Regions from separate parts of the Mus musculus genome. Here region 1 is reported to be linked to region 2. Evidence: microRNA targets listed by miRTarBase, many of them from high-throughput screens and not tested one by one. Region 2 holds a microRNA gene; the other region holds the end of a gene's coding sequence. Distances are between the middles of the regions.
What was found. Region 2 holds the annotated microRNA mmu-miR-873a-5p (GCAGGAACUUGUGAGUCUCCU, at 7,899-7,919, shown strand). A microRNA usually pairs through its seed, bases 2 to 8, with sites in the 3' UTR of a target mRNA and lowers its output. Matches are read on the target gene's strand: a 7mer-m8 pairs with bases 2 to 8, a 7mer-A1 pairs with bases 2 to 7 and ends in A, and an 8mer does both.

Region 1 (16,070 bases), 12 Mb from region 2:
GTGGACCTGGAGGGTATCATCCTGAGTGAAGTAACCCAATCACAAAGGAACTCGCACAATATGTACTCACTGATAAGTGGATTTTAGCCCAGAAACTTAGGATACCCAAGACATAAGATACAACTTGCCAAACGCATGAAATTCAAGAAGAACAAAGACCAAAGTGTGGACACTTTACCCTTTCTTAGAAATGGGAACAAAACACCCATGGAAGGAGTTACAGAGACAAAGTTTGGAGCTGAGATGAAAGGATGGACCATGTAGAGACTGCCATATCCAGGGATCCACCCCATAATCAGCCTCCAAACGCTGACACCATTGCATACACTAGCAAGATTTTATTGAAAGGACCCAGATGTAGCTGTCTCTTGTGAGACTATGCCGGGGCCTAGCAAACACAGAAGTGGATGCTCACAGTCAGCTAATGGATGGATCACAGGGCTCCCAATGGAGGAGCTAGAGAAAGTAGCCAAGGAGCTAAAGGGATCTGCAACCCTATAGGTGGAACAACATTATGAACTAACCAGTACCCTGGAGCTCTTGACTCTAGCTGCATATGTATCAAAAGATGGCCTAGTCGGCCATCACTGGAAAGAGAGGCCCATTGGACCCGCAAACTTTATATGCCCCAGTACAGGGGAACACCAGGGCCAAAAAGGGGGAGTGGGTGGGTAGGGGAGTGGGGGTGGGTGGGTATGGGGGACTTTTGGTATAGCATTGGAAATGTAAATGAGCTAAATACCTAATAAAAAATGGGAAGAAAAAAAAAGAAATGGGAACAAAACACCCATGGAAGGAGTTACAGAGACAAAATTTGGAGCTGTGACGAAAGGATGGACCATCTAGTGATTGCCATATGCAGGGATCCATCCCATAATCAGCTTCCAAATGCTGACACCATTGCATACACTAGCAAGATTTTGCTGAAAGGACCCAGATATAGCTGTCTCTTGTGAGACTATGCCGGGCCCTAGCAAACACAGAGGTGGATGATCACAGTCAGCTATTGGACGGGTCACACGGCCCCCAATGGAGGAGCTAGAGAAATTACCCAAGGAGCTAAAGGGAACTGCAACCCTATATGTGGAACAACAATATGAACTAACCAGTACCCGGGAGCTCTTGTCTTTAGCTGCATATGTATCAAAAGATGGCCTAGTAGGCCATCACTGCAAAAAGAGGCCCATTGGACTTGCAAACTTTATATGCCCCAGTACAGCGGAACGCCAGGGCCAAAAAGGGGGAGTGGGTGGGTAGGGGATTGGGGGGGTGGGTATGGGGGACCTTTGGGATAGCATTGAAAATGTAAACGAGGAAAATTTCTAATTAAAAAAAAAAGAAAGAAAGAAAGCAAAGTAAAAAAAAAAAAAAGAGGAAGGACTATTAAAAAGAAAAAGAAAAAGAAAGAGAGCTGAACATGAGCCTGAACGTGACCAAGTAGGCAGCATCCTTGATGCTTCCTGCTCAATTCCTGCATCCAGTTTGCCACTTGTGCTCTTGGCCTGCCTTCCCCTGACAATAGACTGCAATCTGGAATGTGTAATAAACTCTTTCCTCCTCACGTTGATTTGGGTCAGTGTTTTATCACAGCAACAGAGAAGCAAACTAGGATAGCAGCCTTGCCTTCTCTGTGCCTCTTATCCTCACAGGAAGCAGAGGAAGAACTTTGTCCCTACTTAATACATATTTCAGAATATCAATGCACTGAAAATGACAGAACTTTTGGGATTCTGTTCTAAAACTTGAGTTCTTCTACTATACTTCTGTTATATTCATGACATAGTTTGTTCCACAATAATTTGGTCCTAGTATATGAGAACTAGTTTTTAAAAATGGCAGATAAGCCGGGCGGTGGTGGCGCACGGCTTTAATCCCAGCACTTGGGAGGCAGAGGCAATCGGATTTCTGAGTTAGAGGCCAGCCTGGTCTACAGAGTGAGTTTCAGGACAGCCAGGGCTATACAGAGAAACTCTCTCGAAAAAAACTAAAAGAAAAAGAAAAAGGAAAAGAAAAAAGACAGATATTCAGGATTGCAAAGTTTGCAATTTTATTGGGCCTTAATATGCTGTTGGAAAATTGTGAACATTAAGAAAAAGTTGTCTCCAAATGCTCCATATGAGCATGATGTCCTTCATAATAGAGAATCACCATCCAGAGTTTAAAATTTAAAAATTAAAAAAAAAAAAAAAGAAAAATGGGCAGGCTCTTCCTAATCACCAAAGCCAGAAGGCACTTACCTTTTTGTTTGTTTGTTTGTTTGTTTATTTTTCGAGACAGGGTTTCTCTGGATGTCCTGGAACTCACTTTGTAGACCATGCTGGCCTTGAACTCAGACCTCCACCTGCCTCTGCTTCCCAAGTGCTGGGATTAAAGGCATGCGCCACCACTGCCCAGCAAAGGCACTTACCTTAAGCTAACCTCCAACAATCAAGTCTTTTCTAGGTACAGGGTCAAGGCCACAAATCTCCATAACACTCAAAGGATTTTTGACTTTAGTGTGCTGTGAAGTGACATGGAAAACCAGCCAGCAACACTCCCAGGAGGATCATAGGGCAATCATAGCCATCAAGACTGGAGGTGGCTGGACCCAGAAAAAGCTAAACCCATGCATAGCGTCTTCCTATCTGGCTTATGAACTCTCTCCTCTTCTACATTGCCCTAAACCCATTTGGGATTTTGGCACTGTCCCTGGAATACCACAAGGTCACAGGTCTGACTTGTAAGTCTGTGACAGCCATTTGACTAATACTTCTCCAAGAGCATCCACACAGCCCGCCAAAGTAGGTTTACTTAATGGGACCAGTGTTTGTTGCTTTAAGGTTTCAAAATGTTTTGTTTGTTTGTTTGTTTGTTTTTTCTCTTTCACTTCACTGGCTCATCTGCTTGGTTATACAGGGCAGAAAAAGAACCATAATACACCATGTTTTTGGGCCTGATCCTAAAGAGGATATATTGTGAAATAAGCTGAAGTCACGTCAACATGATGTGAGTATCCATATCATTTACATTTCAAGACTTTAACTACCATCAGCAGGTTAACTCACTCTTTTTCTAGAAAAGTCTCCTACTATGTCATGGTTGTTCCATATGCCACAGTCCCACCCTCAAGCGTAAGTTCTCAGGCCCTCCACAAGCAATAAATGTCCCTGGCTTATGAGCCATCACCAGCCATAGTACCTATTAGTTCTGCATGGTAGCTGATCTGATATTCACCTGCCTCAAACCAGACAGGACAAATGGCAGACTGTGCTACAGCTGCAGATAGATACTCAAGTTTCCTCTGCCAGTCCATGTTGCTACCAAACGGTTTGAAGTCTGTCAGCTCCCCTTTCATGCACTTGCTATACCATAGCCCTGGGCTGGCACTTTCAAAGGGAGCACAACTTGCAAAATTTTTTATTAGATATTTTCTTTATTTACATTTCAAATGCTATCTGCTTTCCTAGTTTCCTCTCTGAATGTCTCCTATACTCCCCGCTTTTCCCCAACCCACCCACTCCCGCTTCCTGGCCCTGGCATTCCCCTGTACTGGGGCATATAATCTTCATAAGACCAAGGGCCTCTCCTTCCATTAATGGCCAACTAGGCCATCCTCTGCTACATATGCAGCTAGAGACACAAGCTCTGGAGGGTACTGGGTAGTTCAAATTGTTGTTCCTCCTATAGGATTGCAGATCCCTTCAGCTCCTTGGGTACAACTTGCAAATTAATAGACTACTGTAATACACATTGCTGTAAACATTCATATAACTCATTTATAGCAGGAGTTTACAGGAAAGAAGATTGAGGCCGGGCAGGTCAGTCTGCATTATGACTGCTGTAGAGACCCCCGCCACACACACACACACACACACACACACTGCTGGAAACTGCTGTTGTAAAAAGACTGTATCTAGTTTCAGTTCCTTTCCAGAAAGTGATCAAAACTTCAGAACTTTCGTCTGTGCTATTGAGGCCAGAGTCCAACTCATGCCATCTAGTGACTTTTAACTGCATTTGCACATTGAAGTATATCTTTTTTTTTAATGAAATTCTTAGTATACTTTATAAAAGTTTGAAATTATAAATAGAAAAGAAACAGAAACATTTAAGATTAAAAAAAAAAAACTAACAATGTGTTTTCTTAACAACATGCTAGTTACCGAAGCATGTCTTTTCAAATGCTTTCTGCTGGGAAATATTCCAATCTTATGTGGCCCCTTTCTTAATCTGCAGATAGTGTTACATGGGCAGAAAATTACACTAGAAAGCAAAGCACACAAATAGCGAGAGCCCCTCAAAAGCCGGTGCATGTTTAATGGTATGGGGAATGGGGAAGTGTGCCCTTTGCATCTCCCTGTGTCTGGACGCAAACAGGTTTTATCCAACCAGAGCACCTGTAAGGACTTCACAGATGGTTCAGGGCCATGACTCTAGGGGTTGACAGTCCCCCTTGTGCATAAGCGATAATGTAATCATTCTAACATGTCCCCCAATAATCCTCTCCTGTTAATATGGTATCGTCTATATGTAATGAAAACAGAGCAGTCCAAAGCCATCATGATATGACTTGACAATTGGATGGTGTCAATATCCCTAAGGCAATAGCTAGGGTGGCCACTGTATTCTTACCCAAGAGAAGACAAACTGACGCTGTACGTGCTTGCGAGGCAATGTTGAGAGGAGCATTAGTTAAGTTCAGACAGCATTAACAAAAGCATGAGCATGATTTTGTTGTTGTTGTTGATTTCTACTACTTTAGTTCATATTAGGTATAGTAACATGACTAGGAAACATCATCACAGCTCCCTGCAGTCAACATCATTTTAAAATTTCTGTCCTGCCTTTTTACCACCTATACTGAACTGTTATAGTGATGGCAGGCAGAATCCAGAATGCCTTATAATTCTTATATGGGCTCTATAATTGCAGCATGTCACCTAGAAACTTATATTGTCTGGTATTTATTAGCTGCTTGATTGTGGGGAGGCTAACAGAGTCCTACTTTTCTTGATTAATACTGCCTTTACTGCCTGAAGTTTGGGTTAAAAACTCCCCCCCATAGAGGTCTGTAATGTCTTTCCTAATAGAGAGTTTGTCTTCTGTATGCTTTTAGAGACTGGGAGATTGAACAAAAACATAGCTGGGAGGGCACTGCTTCCTAGATTCCATCAATTACTGCACAGGGCCCCAGAGACCATTCTGAGTGGCACCACATCAGTGTATTTAGTACGTGTATCTATTAGACCTATTCTTGAAGGACTAGTAGTAAACAATGAGTCTGATGTGAGACCACCGATTGCTGCCTACGGCCTTTACTATGGGCTAACCGTTCCAGCAGTTGGTTATGCTGTAGGAAGGAAATGCCTCACCTTCCCCGAAGAAGCAGAAAGAAAAGTTGGTTGAGGGCTTGACCTTCTTCCGCAGGACTGCCAAGATGGTACTTGTTTGCAAGCAAACCATTCTGCCTCTGCTTTCTTGGCTCAGCCCTCATCTTTTTAGTATTTTTTTGTCTCTTCTCTTTTATGTCCTGACCAGACTTCCTCTCTCTCAGGTAAGCAATAGCCTTGATTACATTAGAAGGACCCTTATCCACCAACTGAGCTGAGGAAGACGAGAAAGGAGCTGTACCGTTCTTGAGAGGCATTTGGTATGTTTCCCCCCTTCCAGGGCACTAAAAGAAAAAAATCTGATTTACTAGGCCATCAAACCACAGGAGCCTTTTGTGTGCCCATTTCCCACAGAATACCTTAGGCTTTGTTGGAGCTTTTCCATGGGGAAGGGGCCGACTGTCCTGGTGGATCTGTCTCCTTTAGGCAAGCCTCTCTCTATTTAAGGAGATCCGATCTGTAAGAAAATGATTTCCCAGGAAATGGCAAGCATTCGACGGTCAACCAGATAAGGGCTTGGCTGGACAGTAACACTGCTCACTTCTCTGCCATAGATACACTATCCCCTCCCACGTCCCAGTCTCAGCTCCAGGCACTCAACTCCCCAAGCAGTTGGCTAAAAGTGTTTATAACACTTAGAAATCCTGCACTAGTGTACTAATGTCCTGGTTTCTAACACAGAAGGCTCTTCACCTGAATATTCAGGACCTCTTCCTTGTACTGAATTAATGGACAGTGAAAACAGCAAGTGCCACAGGTATAAGGGTTCTTCCTTAACGCCTTTCAAGGATCCAGATGCTTTACATTCCCTTCTGATTATGACTGCTCAAATCTGATCAACCTTGTTTTCTCTTGCTCTTCCAAACCCCTCAGTGGAGCCAAGTAAGCCAGGGTTTCTAGCTTAGCATTCTGATCTTCCACTATTTCTGGCAGGAAAGACCCCGAGAAGAGACAGGGCAGAGGGTTGATATATTAGACACAAAGCTTTTTCTAAGCTGTAAGTTTTGCTAACATCACTACATTCTTTACGACAACTACATGGGCATCAGTGGCCACCCAAACTGCTCACAGCAACAGCTCTCTCCCTGCCAATAGCAAGATGTCAGCCTTCCTTCCCCACTGTAGCAAGTTGAGGATGTGGCCATACTCATGGAGCATCTAACACATGAGCCTCCCTTCCCTCATGGATCCAGGTACCACTTCAGGATTCCATTACTCATTTGCTGTCGACTGCTTCAATGACTGTTTTGTAACAACTGTCTTGGTGGATGAGGTGCCATAGCATTATGTAACAAGAAACAAAACCCAGGATGAGGAAGATGGCTCTGCTGGTTCTGCACTGGCACCATACCTGACATGAGTTCAGTACCTGGGACTACATGGTGGAAGGAGAGAATCAACTCACCTTTTGTCCTCTTACCTCCACATACAGGCTCTAGCATGTGTCCACACACACACACACACACACACTTTTTGTTTAAGAAGTAGGCAGGCAGATCTAGGATTGCAGTGCAGTTTATTGGGGACTGATTGACAAAAGCAGTCCTGGATGACATCAGGAGTTGGTGAATTCCCATAAGTTAGAATGACAGTAGTTTATAAAGTAGTCAGAGCAAAAATGACTTCATCCAAACCAGAATGTACCTGGGTTATCTCAAGCTTATATCAGACAGACACATTCCAATTCTACCAATAAAAGCCAATCATTGCAATGAAAAGCAGTGTTATTCTGGGCAGTTATGGCAACTGTGAATGAAGATGATCAGGCTGAACCCATGACTAGCTTTATTGTTAACACTACCCAGTAACTAACCATTGGGGGAGACAGGGTCTCTGGAATTAATCACTAAAAAGCTCTGTATTAAATAGCTATTTATCATATAGAGATTCAGATCAAAGATCATGAGTGTTTAAGTGCACTGAGTAAATATGGAAAGAAGGATGTTCATTCCTGAGCAAACACACAGCTCTTTCAGAGTGATGAGGCACTAAATGATAACATACTGGAGCTAAGGACAGCACTGGGGGATGGGGGGGGAGGGGTGCTGCAGCTGGGTTAAAGAGTTTGAGGACAGCTTGGCCTACACAGTAAGATATTACCTCAAACACCAACCCACTCCAAAAGTAAAAGGTAAAGCTAAGATGTTATATCAAATGGCTTTGAGACAGTCTTTGTGGTTGGGTGAGCTTACCTGAGTGTATCTATGTGTGTCTTGACACTAAGTGGTTGGTTTTGCTGGTATGCCTAAGTTTGGATAGCCTATCTCTTTAGAGTAGAACTTTACCCAAACCACCCACTCTTCTGCTGCAGGCTTCTTCATGAACAGCTCTCTCAGCTCTCATTTTTACAAAAGCCAAATCTAGTTTTTTTCTCCTCTCCTCCTTATTCAATTCCATTCCTTCAAATTCAGTTTCCCATTCCTCACTTTTCAAAATAAATGTGAGACCCCAATACCAGTCACTGGTCAGTTTTAGAGCATCTTTGATCTAGAATCCATTTATTCAGGGATTTTAATCTTGCTATCCAGTCTCTCATAGCAGAGAGCGTTTAGTCATCTATTAGCCCAGAGCTCTACAAAGGACTTACAGAAGCAGACATTTGAGAAGTTTTGGCCCTTTGTGCTCAGGTAACCCGTGTATCAATTCACATAATTCTTACAACTCCCATACAGGCAATCCAGTGTAGTAGTCAGTACAAAATATTCTATTTACTCTTCAGTATCCACTAATCTTTGTAGTTACTGAAGTTTCCCGGGCTGCAACTTTCCCAGGAAAGCATTCTTAACTTCACGCTTGTTACCACAATGCTAACAAAGCTAAGACATGTAAGGCACCTAGGTTAGTGTCCAGTATATAAACTGCACTTTAGTTGTAGACAAGTCAGACACAGCTAGTTAAGGAACCGACATCTAAACTCCGCTTTTCCAAATGTAAATTTCATGCACCTTGTGTGACGTTACAATTGGTGTTCTACATGAAAGAAAAAACCAGAAAAGTGGGCTAATGTGCAAAATGGAAGGATTTTATTGTGTGATACCAGTTAAGAAACCATATTTACATCTGCTAGCCACCCAGGAAACCTGAGTCAGTACTGCTGATTCACATATTCATTTTGAATTAATGGAGGATGGTTTTGACGGCACTTTCCACCATAATCAGCAATGATTGGAATTAGTAGGTTCCCTTAAACTTCTGTATTGAATCACATATAAGTAGGGATAGTTTCTTCACTGGAACTAGATATGAAGAAGCTGACAAACTCTCCAGTCACCTCCCATCTTTGCTGTTCCATCTGCCTCCCTCCATCATCGCTGGATTCTTCTCATCTTCCACATCTTTTCCCGTGGAATCTCGAGGCAAGTATGTCTGTCTGTTCCCGTGAAAGAATATGGACGAGCCCAGTTACCCCAACTCCATTCTGTCCTTTTGAAATGTATTTCATTTTACAGAATAAGTAAAAATACTACTAGGATTTCGAGAACCTAAATTCTGGCTTCCTTGCATCATAAACTACAGGTAACTCTGTTGTGTGTTTTGTAGACACCCATTTTAACTACAAGACTTTGTATTTGCCTGGTCTTTTGTCATTTATCTTCATTGTTGTCCTGGAATTTATATAAGGCAGGTATACTTTTATAGAAATTCAATTTCAGAGAGGTCAAACAATATGGGCAAGAACCCACAAGTATAACATGCCAGAATGAGCCAAACTCATCTCACCTTATCTGAGATTCTATTACTGGAATGTAACATTCCAGAGCTTAAGTGAATGAATTGGTAACTTTCTAGGTCCCTTCAGGGATTTATTCTATACTTCTACTGGTTATTTTTCCTCCTAAAATAAAAACAGGTATGAATGTTTGGTTATCAAATTGGATTCTCTTATTTTTAGCTGTTCTTTCATACTTCTCTCACTTCTAAATTAAAGAAGCTATTTGTTCAAATAATCTTTAAGTATTGCCTCGCTCTTAGAAACCTTTTCAAGTTACCTATTTCTATTTGTCAAAAGAGAGACAGCCAGCATGTCAGATACCACTAATTCTTCTATAAAATTATTTAATATTTAAAACAAATTTAAAACATTAAAAAGATCCTCATGGATTTTTCATCTCTAGAGTAGTAATATGTATTTTTCTTTCTTTTCACTCAGTTTTCTCTCTTTCTTCACTTGGGAAATATAGTCACTGTGTTTCCCTGCTGATTATCTGTCCCTAACACAATGCCAGTCTTATAGGAGTCAGGAGGACTCTTGCTTTCAGTGTCTACTACAAAGAACAAACCAACTTAAACTAGAAAGTGGAATTTAATATTGACTCATTTGGGCCACATGATCAATACAGCTAACATATACCCAGGAACTACACATACATAAATTTTTAAAAAATTATATGAACAATCCTGAGGAGGTCAAAGAGCTTTCAAACGTTATGGCCCTCAACTCACAGGAACTTGTATAATTTAATACACGCAAAACAAGGGCGCGGAGCTTGGGAACACATACAGGGGAAGTTGTTTCGTGATTTTCTTCATTTTGATTGTATTGCTTTCCTGTCTTCTGGAGGTAAGATTTTGACTTCAAAAGTAACAAAATATTTGAGAAGGGAATTTACATCCTTCAGTTCTAAATAGTACTCTTGAGCGATTTTCTCAGCAGTCCATGTTTCTGGAGAGAGTTTATGGTTATTGAGAAGGGTCAATGCCTCTACAACAGTAATCTTGCCTTTGGGAATGTCCGTGATATTCTTATCAAAGTGATTTCCTATCGGCAGTCTGAATTCCTTTGGTTCTTGTCGTGGTTCAACTTTTACCTAGTACCAAAGAAAAGGGTTTAGGATAAAATATTTACATCTTCCACAACTCTTAAGTCTAAACCATTTCTTTTCAAATAAACACATATATACCTCCTCAAACTTTGATTTTGCACTGTACCACTCTTTTCCTAACTATAGCTCGCTAGAAAGCCTCTATAAAATTGCAACTGCATGCACACCATGAAATTATAGCCACTGAGCATTACTGACCCAAAAATGTGAGACCCAAAGTGCTCTAAAATCCAAAACTTCTGAACTCCACCATCATGTCCCAAGTAGAAAGTGCCACATCTAACTTCCTGTGATGATCAGCAGTCAAAATGTAGGTACACTAAGAATGACTCATCAACCTGCCTTCAAGCTTGAGTTGTATATGAAATAAAAGCAAACTTCATAATTAAATTTGGATCCTCCCACAAAGATGCTTCATAATATACATACATATATTCCAAAATGAGATCAGGTCCTAAGAAGCTAAGTTAAAGAAACCTCAACTTGTATATGAGAAGAATGAGAACTGATTAGATACGCATTACACCTGTTTCGAATGAGCAGCACTCTAACGGCGCTGTTAACAGCTTACTTGAGAACTGTCTTCCAGCCTTCCCTCACTGATAAACTATTACCTAGATGTGTAAGACGCTTCTGGTCAGTGTTATCACAGCAAAAGGTAGCCCATGCATGCACACATGCACGCACGTGCAAGGGTGCACACACATTCACTTACGTACAGATTTTGAGACTCGGTCTGTGCATAAGCATCCACAGGCAGGTGGATCTCGTGAGTACCCACCTGAGCTTAACCTCAGTCTCTGTGCTTACTACCTAAGCCGTGCCAAGGATTCCCTTTCTCTTCATTTCCAGCTATTCCTGCCTATACTACTTCTAGGCCAATATCAAGGTATTTCTCTCCCCGCCCCCCGCCTTTTTTTCAATGACTCCCCAAAGCCCTTCTGATAAATCTAAAGTTTCTTGGCATGTTCTTCATGATGCAGCCATTACCCCAAGTCCCCTTCAGTCTCCCCTTGTTGCATACCGTACCTAAGCAGTCTCCCACACTCACTCACTCCACCTTCTTGTTCCCACTTGAGTCTCAGGCACTCACTCTTTTCCTCTTCCACTTCCTAAATCTCAAAGTGTCTCTCATCTTCCAAACCCAGGTACATCTGCCTTTCCCTCCATACATACAGATCTGGCTTTTCCACTTGACATCAAGATGAATAAAATTTAACATCCTCTTTTCATTTAGTGGAAAGGCAGAAAAAATTTACAAATTCCACATAAATATAAAATATTAAGAAAACAAAAAAACTGAAAAACTACTTCCTAGCAGATATGTTAACTAGTTATGTCAATAGCTAGAAAATAAAAATCAATTATTTTCCTGTGCATTAAAATGAGGGGAAGAAAATTTCTACTTAATAATAACATCTTTCTTCCTTCCTCAAAGACCTTCTAAAAAAATTAGAAGATCTTTACCTCTCTTTAGTTAAACTGTGAATACAATCTAATTATCATCAAATCTAAACAAGGCTTACTAAAGACACTAAAAATCTGATTCCCAAGTTCATTTAGAAGGAAGTGATTTGAGAAGATATGAAGCTTTTTTAGGTTATAACAGTCACCAGGATGTGTCATACCACTTTATTGAGATAGTATGGGTCTAGTGGTAAGAAACAAAAAACACCTGGTCTACAGAGTGAGTTCCAGGACAGCCAGAGCTACACAGAGAAACCCTATCTTGGAAAAAAAAAAAAAAGAAAAAGAAAAAGAAAAAGAAAAAGAAAAAGAAAAAGAAAAAGATGAAACAAAAACCAAACAACCAATAAGTCTATAAACAGAAGTCAGAAAATTAGTAAATAAATTATAGTTAGGTGACTGGCACCTATTTGAAGAGGTTAAACTGGTCACTTCAACAGACTAAATACCAAGTATAATATCAAATAAGTATCTTTACACAAAAATCACACACACACACACACACACACACACACACACACTCACATGCACCTCATACTTAGCATAAATGGGAAACCCTCCTTCCAAGTATTGCTGAGCTTAAAAATAATACACTATGGCCAACAATCAATGTATCTTTATTGTGTGAAAATCTGGTACTAACTAAATCCTACTGTCACTATTAAATTATGAATATTATAGAAGTAGCTGTAATTGCAGTCTTTTGCTCAGTATTAGATAATACAAAAAAGTTTTGTAATGAAAACAAAAAACAAAAAAAACTTTGAGGGCTGTGGCTGGTACTTCCTCTTCATTTAATCTAATTCTTTGCCTTCCAGGCTGCAACTTCAATTTGCACTCCAGGCCCAGGGTTAAATGTCACTTCCTCAGAAGCAGCCTTTCATCTTCCCCAGCCCGTAATTACATTATAGTTGTACAGCTGCTCATCCACGGAATGGTCTGTGGTCCGCAACGTACCATGGGCCTCAGAGAGTAATTACTGTTTTAATCACTACACACAACACTTACACCTGACACAGGAGACATACCCATCATTCCAGCATGCTATATTAACTTACATATAATATTACATATCCTGTTGGGACACATCCTCAAAACTATGAACGTGCCCCCACTCCAAACCCCCAAACACTGAGGTTGTCATTAAGAGCATCTTAATTTACAGAATATGAAATAGCTCTCAAAGTCATACTGGTCACTCAGAAAACCACTAAAAAATGCCGTAACCCAACCCTACAACTTCTGCAATAAACAATTCACACAGGTCCATCCAATCAATCCCTTCACAGGTCTTTCGGTATACCCTAAGTATACCCTAAGTATACCCTAAGTATACCCTAAGTATCGAAGGGGGTCCAGGCCTGCCTGTGTCTAGCTGTCTGTGCTCTACACTGACTGCTCCCCTCTACACACACACACACACACACACACACACACACACACACACTTTGCACTTTCACTCGTTGCCCTCTTTTTCTTGATCACTTTCTCAGACCTCCAAAATAAACTGCCAACTTAATTAACGTATACATTACCGGCAAGGCAGGCACCGGATCTTTGGAATCGACATATACATCTCTTAGCAATGACAGCAGCTTGTTATCTTTTTTAGAAACAACTTCTTCGATTTCTGGATACTCTAAGGAAAGAAAATAAGCCATAGTATCTTTTTTTTTTTTTTTTAAGGAAAAAAATCTCTAAACTCGTAAACATGTACAATATTAAAAAAAAAAATCATCTGGACATCTTGGGGCAAACACTTGGACGAGAGTCTGCGTGCAGCCTGCGCAGACGCCGGGAGAGAGCGCGGGCTGCCTTGGGCTCCGGGATTCCTTCCAGCCGCCACCACCCGGGGCCCGCGCGGGGACGACCTCAATGTCACCGGAGGCCTGGGAGGGACTGCACTCACGACTCCGGTGCTCCTGCAGGAGGTCGCGGGTAGAAGGGTGCTTGGGTGCCATGGAGGGCTTCCTCTTGCTGATCTCTCGCTCCGCTCGCTTCTCCACGTTGAAGTTCCTTAAGGCGCGGGTCACGCGAGCCCCCATCTCTAAATCATGATGCCCTTAGTTCACTACGCACGTGTAGAAGCCACCGGCACCGGTGACCTCTGTACGCACGGAGCATGCGCACACCAGGGGCCAGGCACCGGTAAAACGCCGAGGACGCGCTCGTCGCCCCCTGGTGGCCGGGAGGACGCACCCTGGACTCCGCCCCGCCCACCCTTCCGCACAGGCGCATGCGCAGACATCTGGGCGTTGTCAGGGACGCCGGCCGGCGACTCCGGAGTCTTTAAGGATGAGCTGCTGTGATCCCACGGTTGCAAAATCCCGAGTAGCCAGTGTGGAGCGGAGATCTTCCAACCTCTTCAGAGGGCAGAGCGCAGGGTCAAGGTTCTGAATTTACCTGCCCATGCTTTTGAGAAATTGAGAATATTTGTTCTCAGCCGCAATTCCATTCTAACAGCCCTTATTTTCCTGTCCCTTGCCTGGAGCTTTCTGAGCCAATTTTGTGTTGGTTTTGTTTGTTTGTTTTAACTCTTTCACTATCTTGACATACCATTTTCCTGCCACTTTGTCCCTAGTGCTATGAGTTTTAGGCTTTCCTTCCCCTTCTCTCATAAGTAGTACTAACTTGACATACTCCTCCATTAGCGCTGAATCACCGTGCTCTTCTCAGCCCCATTTCTCAGCTCTACTGCCTCTCGAGTCTCTGTAATCTTGGCAAACCCTGGTGTAACTTAACGCTGTATTTGGAAAAAGAAAAAAAAAATCTACGGTACACATTCTATCTTCCTTTCCCCTTCTCTTCCACCCACCCTTTGTCTCTTCCTTCTTTTACGTTTCCGAAAGTATTCAATGTGATTGGCCCATAGTTTTTAAAGCCCACCAGCAAGAAAATAAGTTTTCGAATTAATATTTTTCCCAGACTGTGGTTGTGAAATCTATTAAAGATTTTAGCCTGGTTGGTTAGGTGAATAGATTAGTTGTGTCTAACCAACTTAAAGAAAAAAATTAGGGGGAGGGGTTTTCATTTTTTTAAGGACTATTACTAATTAAACTGTTTCATAATAGAGAAAACACTAGAGGGGTAAAGTTCTCACTGTTGCTTATGAAACCTGTCTCTGGAGATGGGTTATGTAGAAGCTAAAACCGTGTTCAGTGAGTTAATTTGTTAGTTATCCTGAAGGTGGCAGTCTGCTCCAAGATTTCCATCTGAGAGCTTTTTAAACAAGTTCATAACTGGGTGCCTTTTTTTTAAAACCAATTTCTCTGGACATCAAGAAATGTTCCTTGGCCTCATTAAGTCTGTTCTGTGCTTTAAGAATTATAGTAGCAATTCCACTCACTGCCTGCTAAAGTATTTTAAATTTTCATGTGATTCCACCAAACTTAGGGCTACATGAAAGTAACCTTACACAAGAGTTTCGAGTGAGTCCAGGACAGCAGATAGTACAAAATTAAAGATCTGTGAATTTCTACACGCAGGAAAGCTTGGATTTGACACTGGAAGAGACAGTGGCAGGTGAGCCTATTGTTTTATCTAGCCTTGGCCTGGGGTTACTCAGACCCTTAAAGACCAAAACAAGGCAGAGAGGCTCCAGCAGAACCCACCTTTGGCTATCTTACTTTGGTAATCAGAATGGAAACAAAATCCTGGACCATAAATCCATAATTTCAGCTCTTCTTGTCAAGACATACAATGTAGCAGAAGGTCTGAACTTAAGATTTTCTTTCTGGCTTCTGCCTGAGGATTGAAGGCAGACCCTCAAGGGAAGTCAGAAGTCTGCTTTTCTCTCAGCCAAACTGAAGTAAGGTTGATAGCTGATAATGAATGATAGTGATGAACTCCAAATATCACCAAAACAGTAAAATGCTAGTTTTTGAGAAGAGACATTTTCCTTTGTTTTGTTTCGTGCTGTATGCCCAAATGGTGCCAGGACAAAGTGGGTGTTTATGCCAAGATCAGTTTCAATCATTGACTAGCATGCTCTTTCCATGTGATGGTGTTGTTGAACCTGGGAAGGCTGGAACATCAATAGGCATTATAACAAGGGTCTAGAATGCCATCTGCCTTTGCCTCGCACTCGCAGCAGTAATAGTCACCATCAGGTAGAACCTGCAAGCTTCCCTCACCATTGTGTAGCAATTTCCTCCTGGTTGAACCTTCCCTCCTAAAGCAGGAGGGATGCTTATGAGACTCAGGAAGTCAACAGAGCTTACAAATCTGGGAAAGCTGAAGGCTACATGTTAAAGAAGGCCACTGAATAGTGCTAGGGAGAGGAGGATTAGAGGTGAGGAGCTGCCTGCCCGTCAGACAAAGAGCTCCAGAATTGCTGTCTCAGTGAGCTGTTACCCAGATCGCAGCAGGCTGGTTAGTGAAATGGCTCCTTACTAGTCATCCCGTTCCTCTA
Region 2 (16,070 bases):
TTATAGAGAAACAATAGAACATAATTTTGCTGTGCATTAGAAAAGAGAAAGTAATAAAACACTCTTTGCTCCTACAAATGTTCAAATAAATTTCAATTATCCAATAACTATGCAATATTGTCAAGGGGACAGACAAATGATTGCTAGAATTATCTTCAAATGGAAGTGCACTATGTCAATTTGTCAATTTCTAGCAATTTAAAAAAGAAACAGACAAATAATAAAAAAATAAAACCTATGACTTTTGATTAAATAAACAGTTTATAGAACTAAGCAGAATCAGTAAAATATGTTCATTGCATATGTTCATTGTAGGACTACAGCATGTGGAGCCGTTAGACATAAGATATACACGCATATAGGAGTGATTAAATACTATAGTGAATTTATGACATGGAGTAATATCAACCCACCAAAACCAATTTTTATGACACTGTGAACTTCATGCTTGAGAAGCATCAAAAATAATTTCCAGAATTCAGTGGTTAATATGTCCCTACTAATGTTGCAATATAAAATAATTATCAAACTAATGGGGAATATTCTAGATGCTTAATACTAAATATGCTTACTCTTAAAGTGACTGTTGGATTGGGTAGAGAAGAGGGGATATAAAGAAATATTTTCCCATTCACCATGTGTGCTTCTAAATTGTTTTTGTTATTAAAGATTGACAGTAGAAAAGGTTTCTCCAGATAAAAGATGCTTCCAGAGTGCATTGAGTATTTTAAATAAGGCCCTGCTGTCAGTGCAGCCAATGTTTGGATGTTATAAATGGTTAAAACTCTTTTTGCTCAAAGAAGCTTCCACAAAAATCATTTAATTTCTAAATATGTGATGTTGAGTTTTAATTATACCTGTCCCTGTTGCACAATCATAATGTTATTTCCACATTTAAACTAATCTAAAAATGATTTTAGGGACACCATTATTGCTGCTTTTCTATATGCTGAGGAATGGCATATTTTTCTTTGACATGTCTTTTTTTTTTTACATATTAGTTTTCTGCTAATTCTAAGCTATACATATAGATTTTTGGTTTTAAAAATGATTATTAATAGTGACACATGGTTCTATATCCTTAATGTGTTGCTTTTGTATATAGGTGTTCAGTATAGACAAGGAAAGTTGAAAGTTTTAGTAGTTACAAACTAATATTAAAGATTTTTTTATAGATATTCTCTGTAAATAAGTAAATTAATACGCCAACAGTATATTCATAGGCTGCCTACATAACTTTTTTGAATAGCCCCAGTTATTGTGGAAAGTGTGGAACAATGATTTACAACCTCACTTCTTTGAACTCAGGCTACTATTACTCTACAGCTGGAAACATGGCTTAGGGAGTGAGAGTGCTTGCTGCTCGTCCAATATGGCTGAATCTGCTGATACCTACCTGTAATACCAGCTCCAGGATATCTGATACCCTCTTCTGCCCACCTCTCAAACACGCACACACACACACACACACACACACACACACACAGACCAAAACAATAAATAAAACAATAAAAATAAATATTAAAAAAGAATATGACTCTTTTCCTGGTATCCAATAAAAATATTTTGACAGATGTGTGATTATAGTTAAGCATAAAGAATACTTTTTGAACTCAGATTTATTTCAACCATTCCTCCCATTCTTATAGATCATGTAAGTTAATAATGTAAAGAAAAATTTAAGTAAAATATAAGTTTGATATTTCCTGAAATCTATTTTTGTTTTTTCAAGATTATGTTCTTAAACTAGTATAAAATCGTATAAAATGTTTATCAATAAAAGGAGTAATTACATAAAAAGCATGGTAAAATGGAAGAATTTTAGACTATAAAACTTCAAAATGATACATCCAGCTTCTACAAATTCTTTACAGCATTTGTATTATCTGTGAGCAGTTGACTTGTGCCTAAGAAATACGTACATTATTGTATCATTTCTAGTTATTTTCCTCACTATGGGCTAACATATTCTATGAGTATTCTCTAGATAATACATTTCTGTAATGAAAAATTGCAAAAAGTTAATTGTCAAACAGTGATAATGGTGTCAAAAGTGATGTCCCTTATTAAGAAATACAGAAATAGTGTGATGTGTCATCATTGTAAATAACATTTCTTGTTCACTCTGAAATAGTTTCCTAGGGGAAAAGAAAAACCCAGTCAGTCTTGAGATGCCACAGTTTCTGACGGTGATGATAGCATCACTATTTGATAATTGTAGTCAGTTAGGTATAATTTGAATGATATTCTGCAGAGATTTTTCTTAGGAATTCATTTCCATATTAAAGGTTTCAGCATTAATGTATAAATTTAGCACCAGAGCTCTGACATCCAATTTATACTGTCTTCCATTTTTTAGCCTCAATAATGCTGCAAACCAGTATGAGACAGTCACAGCTTCATTCGTAACATTATTTGAAAATACAGAAATGAAACTCAATTTAAACACATTGAATGCACATACAGAGTACCTAATGGATGACCAACTCACTCCGACTGTAGATCCCTTCTTGGATTATACCATTATTTTATATTTAATTTTTCTCTTAAACATTCTTTCACACATGTGAACCTGTTATGTGCATTTTACTCACAAACTAAACATTTTTGTTTTCTTTTCTTGTTTTGATTTGTTTTGTTTTTGAGACAGGGTTTCTCTGTATAACAGCCCTGGCTGTCTTGGAACTCATTTTATAGACAAGGCTGGCCTGGAACTCACAGAGATCCACCTGACTGTACTTCTTGGGTGCTATAATTAAAGTTATACACTATCATGCCCAGTCCTATGCTAATTTTCTTTTATTTTATTTTATTTCAGATTTTACTTATCCACTTTATATCATGTTAATTGACCGGGTCACACCTCGAAGAATCCTTCCCTGATCTTTTCTCCCCTTCTCCTCTGAGTGGGTGAGGAGGTCCCCCTGGTATCACCCCAACCTAGAACTTCAATTCTCTGCAAGGATTGGTGCTTCTGGTCTCACTGAGGCCAGACAAGGCAGGCCAGCTAGAAGAACATGTCCTACTTACAGGACACAGCCTTTGGGACAGCCCTACTTTCAGTAGTTTGGGACCCACCAGAAGAGCAAGCTGCACTTATGCTATATATGAGCAGGGAGGCCTGGGTCCAGTCTTTGTGTATGATTTTTGGTTGGTGGTTCAGATCTGAGAGCCACAAGGGTCCAGGTAGAGTTGACTCTGTCAGTCTTCCTATGGAATTCCTATCCTCATTGGGGCCCTTAATCCTTCCTTCTAGTCTTCCACAAGAGTCCCCAAGCTCCATCCACATCTGGCTGTGGGTGTCTACATCTGTCTGAGTCAGCCTCTGAGTGGAGCCTCTCAGAGGACAAAATGTTCCTTTAGGTTTGGTTCTGAAGTCTCACTTCTGATGAAGGTGGAGGGAGAGGCAAAGAATGGAAGTCCCCCTGAGATAGCAGGCTGCCAAGGGCCCTAAGCCAAACTTTTAATGCAAAAACTATAAGGGTAAAGATTGTATCATACAGATTTTGCATTTAATTTACTTCTGTGAAAAACATTTCTATAAAGATTCTCTGACTTTCTAATTTATCATTTATATAAACTATAGATCTGATATACTCTTCAACATCAGAGATGGCATATTAGATGGAGAAGAATGTACAGAAATTAATTGACAAAATTGTGCATTCCCTCTGCCTCCACCATGATTATTCCTTGGAGAAAGTTTTGATCTACTATTAATCTGTATAGGTTGTTTTAAGCAATCTTAAAACTTAAATTGGAATTTTAATTTAGTTTCAAATAAGCTTTATAATAGATAATTTTTATATGTTGGTATTTATCTTTTTATTTTAAAAATATTTTTAAATATTTTATTAGGTATTTTCCTCATTTACATTTCCAATGCTATCCCAAAAGTCGCCCATACCCTCCCCCCGCCCCAACCCCCTACCCACCCACTCCCACTTTTTGGCCCTGGCATTCCCCTGTACTGGGGCATATAAAGTTTGCAAGTCCAGTGGGCCTCTCTTTCCAGTGATGGCCAACTAGGCCATCTTTTGATACATATGCAGCTAGAGTCAAGAGCTCCGGGGTACTGGTTAGTTCATAATGTTGTTCCACCTATAGGGTTGCAGATCCCTTTAGCTCCTTGGGTACTTTCTCTAGCTCCTCCATTGGGGACCCTGTGATCCATCCAATAGCTGACTGTGAGCATCCACTTCTGTGTTTGCTAGGCCCCGACATAGTCTCACAGGAGACAGCTCTATCTGGGTCCTTTCAGCAAAATCTTGCTAGTGTGTGCAATGGTGTCAGTGTTTGGAAACTGATTATAGGATGGATGCCTGGATATGGCGGTCTCTAGATGGTCCATCCTTTTGTCACAGCTCCAAACTTTGTCTCTGTAACTCCTTCCATGGGTGTTTTGTTTCCAATTCTAAGAAGGGGCAAAGTGTCCACACTTTGATCTTCGTTCTTCTTGAGTTTCATGCGTTTAGCAAATTGTATCTTATATCTTGGGTATCCTAAGTTTCTGGGCTAATATCCACTTATCAGTGAGTACATATTGTGTGAGTTCCTTTGTTATTGGGTTACCTCACTCAGGATGATGCCCTCCAGTACATCCATTTGCCTAGGAATTTCATAAATTCAATCTTTTTAATAGCTGAGTAATACTCCATTGTGTAAATGTACCACATTTTCTGTATCCATTCCTCTGTTGTGGGGCATCTGGGTTCTTTCCAGCTTCTGGCTATTATAAATAAGGCTGCTATGAACATAGTGGAGCATGTGTCCTTCTTACCATTTGGGACATCTTCTGGATATATTCCCAGGAGAGGTATTGCAAGCTGTACAACCACTCTGGAAATCAGTCTGGCAGTTCCTCAGAAAATTAAAAATATTTTTATATATCTCTATGGGTATAAAATTATATAAATTGACATGCTTCCATGCATTTGTATACAGCAGGGAGGCTGGAAAAGAATATAGGTGTCCTATAAGTGTCCTGTGTCTACAATTTGATTATTCCTTTTAGCCAGAGTCTTTCCCTGAAGCTGGGCTTATGAAACTGTTATGAAACTGGAAGCTAATAAGCACAACTGTCTTCCTGGCCCACTGTGGAGCTGGGGTTACAGGCCTGTTCTGGATCTTTGGCTTGTTACAGGAATGCTGAGCTTTAAATCCTCATCCTCATGCTGAAGCAAATGCCTTTAACTGACAAGCTGCTTCTCTAACCCTTCCCACTTTTAATTTTTGGAAGCAGGATTTAATGACATAACCTATAAAGACTCAGAACTTAGTATTGCCTCAACTTTTTGTGTACAAAACATGGATAGTGCCATGCACAGTGAGATACACTCATTTTGCTATAGCCATGTATCAAAGGAGTGATTAAGTGGAGTTAATTCTAACTCCTACTCAGAGAAGAAAGCAAGAAAGATATCTACTGTCCTGTAGAGATGAAACTCACAGTTCTAAAAAGGATGTCTCCATCAAATCCCTTCCCTTAAGGCTCAGAGAATCCTGCAGTTAAGAGCATAGCCAGAGAGGATAAAGGACATCAGGATAACAAGACCCTCTAACTCACAGGAGCAAAACTCATATGAGTTCACAGAGACTGAAGGAAAAAGCAAAAGGCCTCTATGTGTCTTCTCAAGGCCTTCAAATATGTGTTATAGCTTTCAGGTTAGTATTTTTATGAAAATCTTGTATGTGTGAATGAGTGACTCTCTGATATTTGTGCCTGCTCTTGTCATCTTTTCCTTCTGTTGGCTTTCTGTGTCCAATTTTGATACGAAGTTTTTTTTTTTTTTTATTTTATCTTATTTACTTTGTGATGTCTTGTTATCGATGGCCTAGTTGGCCATCATTGGAAAGTGAGGCCCGTTGGTCGCGCAAACTTTATATGCCTCAGTACAGGGGAACTCCAGGGCCAATAAGTGGGAGTGGGTGGGTGGGGGAGGGGTGGGGGAGCGTGTGGGGGACTTTTGGGATAGCATTGGAAATGTAAATGAAATAAATACTCAGTAAAAATTAAAAAAAATAAACCTCTTCTTTTCAAATGAAAGACATAAAGGGAGTGGATCCAGATGGAAGTGGAGGTAGAAAGAATTGAAAGGAGTAGAGGGAGGGAAAACTGCAAAGTTTCTCAATTTCTCATTGTAATAACAACCTTTGGAATTCTCTCTCTCTCTCTCTCTCTCTCTCTCTCTCTCTCTCTCTCTCTCTCTCTCTCTCTCTCTCTCCCTCCCTCTCTTTCTCTCCCTCTCTCTCTCTCTTTTTCTCTTCTCCCTTCCTCCCTCCCTCTTTCACTCACTCACGTCCTTCTTTCCTCTCTCTTCCCCTCCCCTCTCTCTTTTCAAGACTCTCTACCATATCATATTTTCATCTGGCCCGTTCCTTCTCTGGATAACCACTTCAACATCACCTTGCTAACATGTCTTCACTGTTGCTTTCTACCACATCTAGTTATGAGTGGAATCCCATGGCAGTTCCTGTCCCTGATATAAGTGTGTTTCTGCTTTGAATAATGTGTCTGATTTATGTGAAGACATTCTCAGTCCCTTGATACAGAATGGAAGTGGCATGCCATGCGTACACTAGAAAGCAAATCATAACAAAGCAACAACAACAATAACAACAAAACCAAAAATCCTACTGAAATGTTGTAATTAATTCTATACACTCTATAAAAGGGATTTAAAGGTAATATTCTTTGTTAAAGCATTGACAGACTGTGTCTTATTATGTCATGGACATAGCAACATAGATTTATCCTGCTAATATGTATTTTGTGTCAAACAGATTCATTCATAACATTTTACCACATTGAACATGTACAACATGGTATGCTATTAGAATCTGTGTATATATCGATGGGGGCACTTTTACACATGACTGTGTGATATTTTTATGGAAAGAACTAACCAGTGGAAGTATAATTTCATATAACTTCAATTTTCTAGAAAAACTGTCCACAGTGACATGTGGTCCTGAGCAAATCTTCACCTGGATATTTGTCATAAAGTCTTGGTCAACAATAGGTCTGTTATCTTAATAATACATCTACAGTCTAAGATCTGATAGGGAAATTAAACCGTAGGAAGATAGTTCACTATTAGAAGACAGTAAAAAGGCAACATACTTTTTATATCATAATAATAACTTACATTTTAGCTAATAATGTGAGATGCTAGTAATTATGTATTTCAAGTTAATAAAGATTGTTAAGCCAAATGCATTTTATTTGTTTTCTGGACTTGCAAGAGAAGACAAAATTTCTAGCAATATATTTGTGTATGTATGATTTATTCCTGAGTGTTTCCAGTAATTATTTTGCAAAATATATTTATACAAATAATAAAAAGTAAAGTAGAATAGCCCAAATAGTACCTCTAGGAATAAGAAAACAGAAACCCCCAAACTGTAAAAGATTCATCATGGCAATTTTGCTGGAATTTGTCTGTGGGGAGTCGGGGAACTAGAATTCAGATCTCTAAGTTTCTATCCCTGAGTTATTTCCATTTCTCCATGAAGTCAAAACCACCACATTGTCCTGAAATGCACTGCCTCACTGAACAATGAAGACTGATGGATCGGCTCAGGCATTATTGAAAATAATCAGGACAGATGGCCAACAGCAGTGCCATAAAGTCAAGAAAGTATTCATCACTGTATCCTCAAGACAGCAATAAGGCCGAGCATAGAAGTTCCTGAGCTAAGATCTGTTGACCAGAGGAACAGGAGTGACTAGTGTCCTGGATTTTCACTGTACTTGATTACAATGATGCGCTAAACCCGGCTAAGACATGACAGACACTACGGCAGGAACTGATTACAGTACTCCTTTGAATTGATGGAAATGTCAGCATCTCCTTAGGAACAACGAGCACCAGCTTAAAATCAGTTTGTGTGCATTTGCAGGAACTTGTGAGTCTCCTATTGAAAATAGACAGGAGACTGACAAGTTCCCGGGAACACCCACAAATCTTCCTACTGGTTTCTACCACCTTGCCTTGGACAGCACTCTGTGACTGGTGTTTGCCACTGTTTAAGTTGCTCTGGAACCCAACTTTATATTTGAGTTACTCACAGAAAATTATTTTTGAAAACAAGAGGACTTTTACCTAGAAAAAAAATTACCTTCACAACTCACGGTGGATACCATTTTTATTAGATCATTTTTTCTGGATTTGAATTTGGTCAAGGAAAGGCATTTCTTCTTAAACTCTGTCCTAATAATATGTTTGTAAACTGAGCATTTTATCAGAGCCAATTTGAATTATTTCTTTTTTTATTTACTTTTCATGAATAATTCAGTAATGTGAATGCCAATATTTATATGAAAGGTTTAGTAGAACTAGTAGGAAAAGAATAATATTAATGTCTACATATATTAGTGTTCTCCAGTTTCTCTAATTATGTTCATTCAAAACTTTATAGACATATAAACATGTTTTTCTAAAATATCATTTCTTATGTTTATGTACATGTGTAATACCAAATCACGTAATTGCCGTTTTATTTCAGGAATATTCAACATATGTATTTAGGGCCACTATTTATAGTGCAAACCAATTCTTAAACTTCTTGATGAAGACTTTCCTAAAACTGCACAAAGTTAATCTACATTTGTAGGGTCATAATTCTTTTTTTTGCATGGTGGTAAATGCAAATATTGAGGAAAGAGTATATGTAGGAATTATGCTACACATTTTGGAAGAGTTTTACTACTTAATATAACAAGGTCATTTATAAAGCTTTTCAGATTTCTTCCTAAAACTTATGAAAAGTATACATTTATATAAATATTCTGTAATAGTGAGTGGCAAAGGCCCCCTTGCTGTTTATTCATCATTCTAAAATTTGCTTTCAAAATACTTATTATTTATATTTTTATGGTTATACTGTGAACTTTAAAAAAGCAAAATCATTTTTATTATTGACTTCAGTTAAAATCCAACATGGAACTCAGTTTTGAGGCTTCCTTCAGTTGGTTTTAACTCTGGAAACTAAGGGTGGACAAATGCTACCACCAAAGGCTTATAGTTTCATCATCCAGTGACAAGAAAATTGTCTTATCTAATAAATTAATCAAACCCTTGTCTATGATAAGCACAGAGAAAATATTCACCCTTATTTCATAGACATAGAAAATAATATTAAATATATATGTCTATTTATTTCAACTGTTCAGGGATCTTCTGGATTAGAAAAGATAACAGAAAATTATCTGTATAACTTTGTGCTCTTTTCACTATAAGGTACACATCATATGTGTGAGATCCTGATTTATATATATATATATATATATATATATATATATATATATATATATATATATATATATATAATTCACTTATCTATAATTATCTTAAATTAACTTTCAATTGTATAATATTTAACTTTCCCCCTAATTTGTTTCTTTCTGTGCTCTACTTAAATGTAATGAATTTCATTTGTTTCAATTCACCTAAGTAAAATCTCATGGGTATATCTCATCTTCTCTCATAATAACAAATCATTAATTTTCTCTGACTCTAGATTATACCTTGATTGTAATCATAACTACTTATGTTATTAAACTGTCTAATTTTTCCATGGCTACTGATATTTGTCTCCTTTGGGTAGTTACCACTTTCTTTATTTGCTACACCAAAATTTGAGTGCCTTGGGATGTGTAGGAATATCATGATATTGTGCATTCCTTTTTTATGTGTGTGATTTTTACTAATTACTAAACCATCAGTCTTAAGAGGAAAGAAAGGGAAACAGCAAAAAAGTGCCCATAATATATTAGCTGATGGATCTGGGTAATCAGTATCATTTTATTTAAACTAATCTTTTTATAAATTTGAATATTATCAAAGCAAAATGAATCTTATTACAATTGATCAAAATTCATTGAAACATGATCTAATTTTTTTACAATGTTAGTCATTCTAGTATGATTTGGTATACATTTCTAAATTTCATATCACCTTTCAATATTTTTAAACAAGTTTTTGCTTTGTTCTATATTTCTTATATCTGTGGCACTCTCTGTGGTCTATTAGAAACATACAACATGTTGGCTGTGGTTTTGTATTACTTAATAACTAAAAATCAGCATATTGGGTGATGGCTTGGTGGGTAAATTGTTTTGTGTGCAAGTATTAAGATTAATTTAGATCCCCAAAACATACATAGAAACTTGGAAGATGTGGTAACCTACTGGCAATTCCTATAGCTGGCATCTAGAGACAGAATATCACATGGTCAGCTAGCTAGGTCTTTGGGTCATTGACAGGGACTTCCAAGTTCAGCAGGATAGGAAATAAAGAGGAAAATACTGAAGGAAGGTGTATAGCTTCATTTCAGCTCTCAATATTCATGCTCACCTGTGCACACACACAAGTGGTCAAACAGGCAAATATGCAGACATACCCAATGCACATACACACAAACACTGTGCTCAAGCAAAATGAGTTATAGAATCAATTTTACAATTATTAAAATTAAAATGAAATTAAGACAATATAAAGCAGCATTTATGTGAGTCTTTCTTTTGATGCTGTTCTTCTGTTTTCCTAAACCTATTGTTTCCCCTGTGACTCTCACTCAAATGAGATTTTTAAAACAAGCAATTTTAAGAGCTCCAATAAATATGGGCATCACAGCATCACAGCATCCAAAATCATAGATCACATTTTCCTAATGAATTGGCATGCTCTTACTCTTCTCTAGTCCATCAAAACATACTCTATTAGAAAACATGACTTTTGGACAACATTGACTTTAGAAAAACAAGTTCTAGTAATATGAAAAAAAGAGAATGGGATAATAATACAATTAAAAATATTTGTCACTTAGGAACTACAATATCTGATGTGGGAATAGTGGGAATATCAGTAAACAGACTCTTATCTTATAAGACTTAATCTTGGAAGTGTGTACCAGAGCTGAGAAAAGAAACATGTCAGAGAGGAAGTCTTTATAATAGCCAAGAGAGCATGAGAAAACCAATGGGTTTATATGGAATGGTTTTACCAATATAAGTCTATCCAGAAATGCACATCTTTACGAACCACTTTTAGGCTTTGAAAATGATTCTATTATTATGTGACCAGTTGTAGCTAATTATTTAGAGACGAAACATAAATATTTCCCATTAAAAATCACAAACAAAAACAAAGCAAACAATAAAACACTGGTTTTTATTCATTTTTAAAAAATTATTTATTTATTTGATTACATCCCAAATGCTGCTCCCCTCGAGGTCCCTCCTTCACCAAGTCCATCCCCTTTACCCACCCTACGCTTTTACTCTGAGAGTGTGTGACCACTTGGGTATTCCCAGACACTGGCAGATCAAGTCTCTTCCAAGTGAGGTGCATCCTCTCCCACTGAGGCCAATCTGGGCAGCCATGAAGACTGAGCTGCCAGTCTGCTACATATGTGCTGGGAGACCTTGTTCCAGCCTGTGTATGCTCTCTGCTTGGTAGCTCAGATTCTGAGAGCTCCCTGGGGTCCAGGTTTTTTTTTTTTTTTTTTTTTTTTTTTTTGACTCTGTAGGTCTTCCTGTGGCGTTCCCATCTAAGTCTGAGCCTTCAAACCTTTTCCCAACTCTTCCACAATGGTTTTAAAATTGGAATAAAATAGTTATTTGAGCACTATCTATCTTATGCCAAAAATCCAGGGGCATGTTCTCCTCCTGAAACTGGGAATCTAATTAAGGTTTCCATAGTCTTTGTCCTCAGCTGCAAAGAAGTCCTGTCTTTAATTAAGCACATCAACACAAGGATTCTCACTTTGCTCTGAATTAATTGGCTCTTCCAATCATTCTTTCTAAAAAAGACTATATTAATATCCAAAATAAAAAGATTCCTGTTTTATTTCAAAGTACAGTTTTATCTAGATTCCCTTCTTTCAGCCTCTATTTACCAACCTAATCACATACTCTGACAAGACTATCTTTAAATGAATCTAGAATTATTACTGTTAGTTTTCCAGCTTAATCATTTTCCTGATGAATTTTCTGCTGTTCTTTGCCCTTACCTTCTAGATTCCTCAATCCAATAGCATGCTTATGTTTATGTTGATGTTTAACTAGAACTTATTTGGAGAGTCTAGTTGCTAACAATGAACAGTGACCCCAGTCCTTACAGACTGCTTGAGTTGCCTGATCTACCAGTATCCTATTTTTATTTATTTTTATTTTTATTTAATTCTTTAAGATTTTTTTTACAGTCATGACTTTATATCTCCCTGTAGGTCCACCCTCAGACTGGTCCACATTGCCCCCCCTCAATCTCCAAGATGATGTCCCCACCCTTTCCAGCCCACTGACCTCCCTACTCCCTGAGGCCTCAAGTTCCTTGAGAGTTAGGTGCATCTTCTCTGTCTGAGTCCAGACCTGGCAGTCCTCTACTGTATATGTGCTGGGGGCCCCATATCAGCTGGTATATGCTGCTTCTACCCTCTTTAATAGTGTTACTTCCTGGGAAACTTGGGGCAATTATCCTCCCTCCTTAAAAACCAGCACAAGTTTACATAGCTATGAATCCATGATAGCATGTCTCACAGTGAATTTTTTAATAACTCCAGAATTGATAATAGCCTCTACTATTGTACATACTACTTCAAATACAGCTACATTGGGTGAATTTTATATTTGATTGCTGACAACTTCTTGACACCAGTGGTGCCATTTGCTCTACATATTAATATTTATCTTGTTTTTCACATTGCTCTTTTGCAAAATGCATTTTAAGTTCTAAATACCAACTTGATAGTGTGTCACTTTCAAAGCAATTTTATAATTTGGAAATTGTCTACTTTTAAAATTTCCAAATTAAATGTTGATTGCATTTAAAGTCAGATAGCTAGGCAGATAGCTGAACATCTGTAATCATCCTTTAAATAGTCCTAAATATTTTCTCTTTTTAAGTCACTTTTTAAAATATTTAACACACTTTAGAATCAATTATGCAATGCCTCATAATAATGTACCAATAGTAGCAAAACTGAGAATAAATTGATCACCTGATAATCACTATTTCATGCCTATCAGAATATTTTTCTGATCAAATTTTGGCAACAGCTGTGATGTAGCTGGCTAATTACCCTTATAATTAATTTCTCAGATTCGTTAAGCATAGTATTATAATAGTATATGCTGGACACAATCTACCATTTTCCCTTTTAAAATTACTTTACTTATTTGTATATAATATCTGTGCATACATATTTTTGCATTGGTACATGTGTGAGCCTCACTTTGCATATGAAGTTCAATGGACAGCCTCAGGCTATTATAGCATTAGATTACAAACATATGGTACCATGTAACCATGTACAGCTTTAGTTGAGTTCTGAGAATAAGACCCAAAAGCCTCATATGTATGTTTATGCATACTGAGCCATCTGCCCTCCACACACTCTATCTTATAAGGAAACGTTCTGAGAGTCTTCAAAAGGAGAAATACTTTTAAACAAAGTAACCTGAGACAAAAAAAAAAGACAAAATAGTATTTTATTTTTGTAATTTTTTAATCCATTCTCATCAGGTACCCCATATTTTTTATAGGCATGCCTGTATCCATTAAGAACACTGAGGAAACAGCATAATTTTCTCTCTGAGATTTTATTCCCTTATATGAGAAATAATTAACAAATGGAATATGTACAATTTGCTGCAAATGGTGGGGTAACGTGGTGTGTGAGATGCTATCAGACTGCCTTTAAGGGAGATGAGGACAATTCATACCCAGGCTTAGGTTTATATAGTTCTTTTTCTTAGGTCACTACAATGCGGGCAGCAGCTTAGAAAAAATCAGCCACCAAACCCAGACACTATTGCATATGCCAGAAAGATTTTGCCGAAGGGACCCTGTTATAGCTGTCTCATATGAGGCTATGCCAGTGCCTGGCAAACACAGAAGTGGATGCTCACAGTCAGCTATTGGATGGAACACAGGGCTCCCAGTGGAGGAGCTAGAGAAAGTACTCAAGGAGCTAAAGGGGTCTGCAACCCTATAGGTGGAACTACAATATGAACTAACCAGTAACCCCAGAGCTCGTGTCTCTAGCTGCATATGTAGCAGAAGATGGCCTAGTCGGCCATCACTGGGAAGAGAGGCCCCTTGGTATTGCAAACTTTATATGCCCCAGTACAGGGGAACGCCAGGGCCAAGAAGCAGGAGTGGGTGGGTAGGGGAGCAGGACGGGGGTTGGGTATAGGGAACTTTCGGGATAGCATTTGAAATGTACATAAAGAAAATATCTAATAAAAATAAATAAACAAATAAATAAAAAAGAAATAGACATGTACGAATGGAGTAATCAACTGCAAGAATATTACAGTGTTTCAGAAGATGTTTAGAGATAGGGTTTTTTTTTTCACTTATTAAAATTTTTGTTTAATCCTATTTTTTATACTCCAGAGTTTATTCCCCTCCAAGTCTACCCTCAAACTGTTTCAGATCCCACACCTCTTCCCTGACCCCCTGTTTTCTCTAGGATGTCCCCACCCTCTCACCCCCAACCCCACCAGACCTCTAAACTCCCTTAAGAAAGAAATATAACTAATGCAAAGATATTTCAGATATGTACATGAATTAAGTGACAAAAATAATTTATAGGTCACTGATGATCAGCCATAGGATACAGCAAAGGTAAGCTATTTATTATTATTATTATTATTATTATTATTATTATTATTGGCATGAGATCCTGAATATGTACCACTGTCAGGCATGGGATAATAAGAGAAGACCAAAGCTGGGAATGGAATTATACATTAATGGTTAGGATGAAATGTTTGAGAACCCATAAAATAGTGGAGCAAAAATAATCTATTTTAATTTATTGAGTTACTGTTGAAATATCTTTATTATATCTCCCAAGGTGGCTTGAACCTTACTATATAGACGCGAATAGAGTCTAGCTCATAGCTGGGTGCTACCTTAGCCTCCTAAGTTCTGAGATTAGAGATATGAGAGCCATATAATATGGCTGTTTCAATTATAGTCATTTGTTTAATTTTCATAGAGACTGCAATATTTCATTCTTGTCACCAAGGATTTTTTAAATATAAGGAACACAGGGAAATACTGACTGAACCAGAGTGTACTCAGCAAACATTAGATGTATCTGTCTGATCTGTTTATTTTTCTAAAGATTTGCATCCAGTAATAAACATCTAACCCATATATGTTCACTGTGGTTTTGTTGACATCAGCTACCCCTAAATATGCTCAGTGCTTGATTCTGTTGATGTGAAATTCCATTATAATGTTTCTCAGTCAGGGTGAACATTTAAAAAGGCTAGTCAATTAAAACTAATAGAGCTGACAACAACTGAACAAAAATGTATTAAGGGCACAAGCTGCTATAATAATTTTAAAAGAATATTGTATGAAAGCTATTTAGAATTTCCTTGAAGAACATTCAATATATCTTAGCCTTTGTTCTAGTTTCAGGTCTGCTTCTCTGTTTAAATATCCTGACCAAAAATCCACTTATGGGAGAAGGGGTTGATTTGTTCTGAGCGAAATGTCAACACAAGAATATGGATCCCATCCACAGTCACATCACATCCACCACCGTGATAGTTTTGCCAACGTGTGAAAAACTAGAGTCACCTGAGAAGGGAAATAATCAACTGACAAATTGTGTCATTAAATTCCTCTGGGCCATGGCTATGGGACATTTTCTCAATTTAAGTTTAATGTGTGACAGTCTAGCTCACTGCAATTGGGGCCACTCCAGGGTATATGGTCCTGGGTTACATAAGAAGCAAGCTGCACAGCTCTTGGAAAGCTAAACTAGTAAGCAGATTTCGGCCCTGTATTAATTCAGTGATGAACTAATTCCTGGAAATGTAAAAAACAAAACAATAACAACAACAACAACAAAAACAGAAAAAGAAGGAAAGAACAAAAGAAGAGGAGAGCAGAGAAGAGAGCAGAGGAGGGGAGGGGAGGGGAGGGGAGTGGAGGAGAGGAGAAGAGAGGAGAAAAGAGGAGAGGAGAGGAGAAAAGAGGAGAGGAGAGGAGAAAAGAGGAGAGGAGAGGAGAGGAGAGGAGAGGAGAGGAGAGGAGAGGAGAGGG

Region 1: the mRNA of Ndufaf4 is a reported target of mmu-miR-873a-5p. Seed matches in the 3' UTR shown: 7mer-m8 at 9,812-9,818 and 7mer-m8 at 9,722-9,728.

The regions. Positions count from the first base shown.
Region 1 is chr4:24,895,801-24,911,870 of GRCm38, reverse strand. Ndufaf4 (NADH:ubiquinone oxidoreductase complex assembly factor 4) reads right to left here and starts at 13,788. Exons shown (of 3, transcript NM_026742.4): 1 at 13,569-13,788; 2 at 13,195-13,298; 3 at 6,870-10,177. The coding sequence starts at 13,704. The coding sequence ends at 9,896. Gm46848 (a long non-coding RNA gene) reads left to right here and starts at 13,749. Exons shown (of 3, transcript XR_001784261.2): 1 at 13,749-15,181.
Region 2 is chr4:36,660,405-36,676,474 of GRCm38, reverse strand. It overlaps Mir873a (microRNA 873a), which reads left to right and starts at 7,889; the gene lies at 7,889-7,965. All of the region lies in intron 2 of Lingo2 (leucine rich repeat and Ig domain containing 2), which reads left to right. It overlaps Mir873b (microRNA 873b), which reads right to left and starts at 7,965; the gene lies at 7,889-7,965.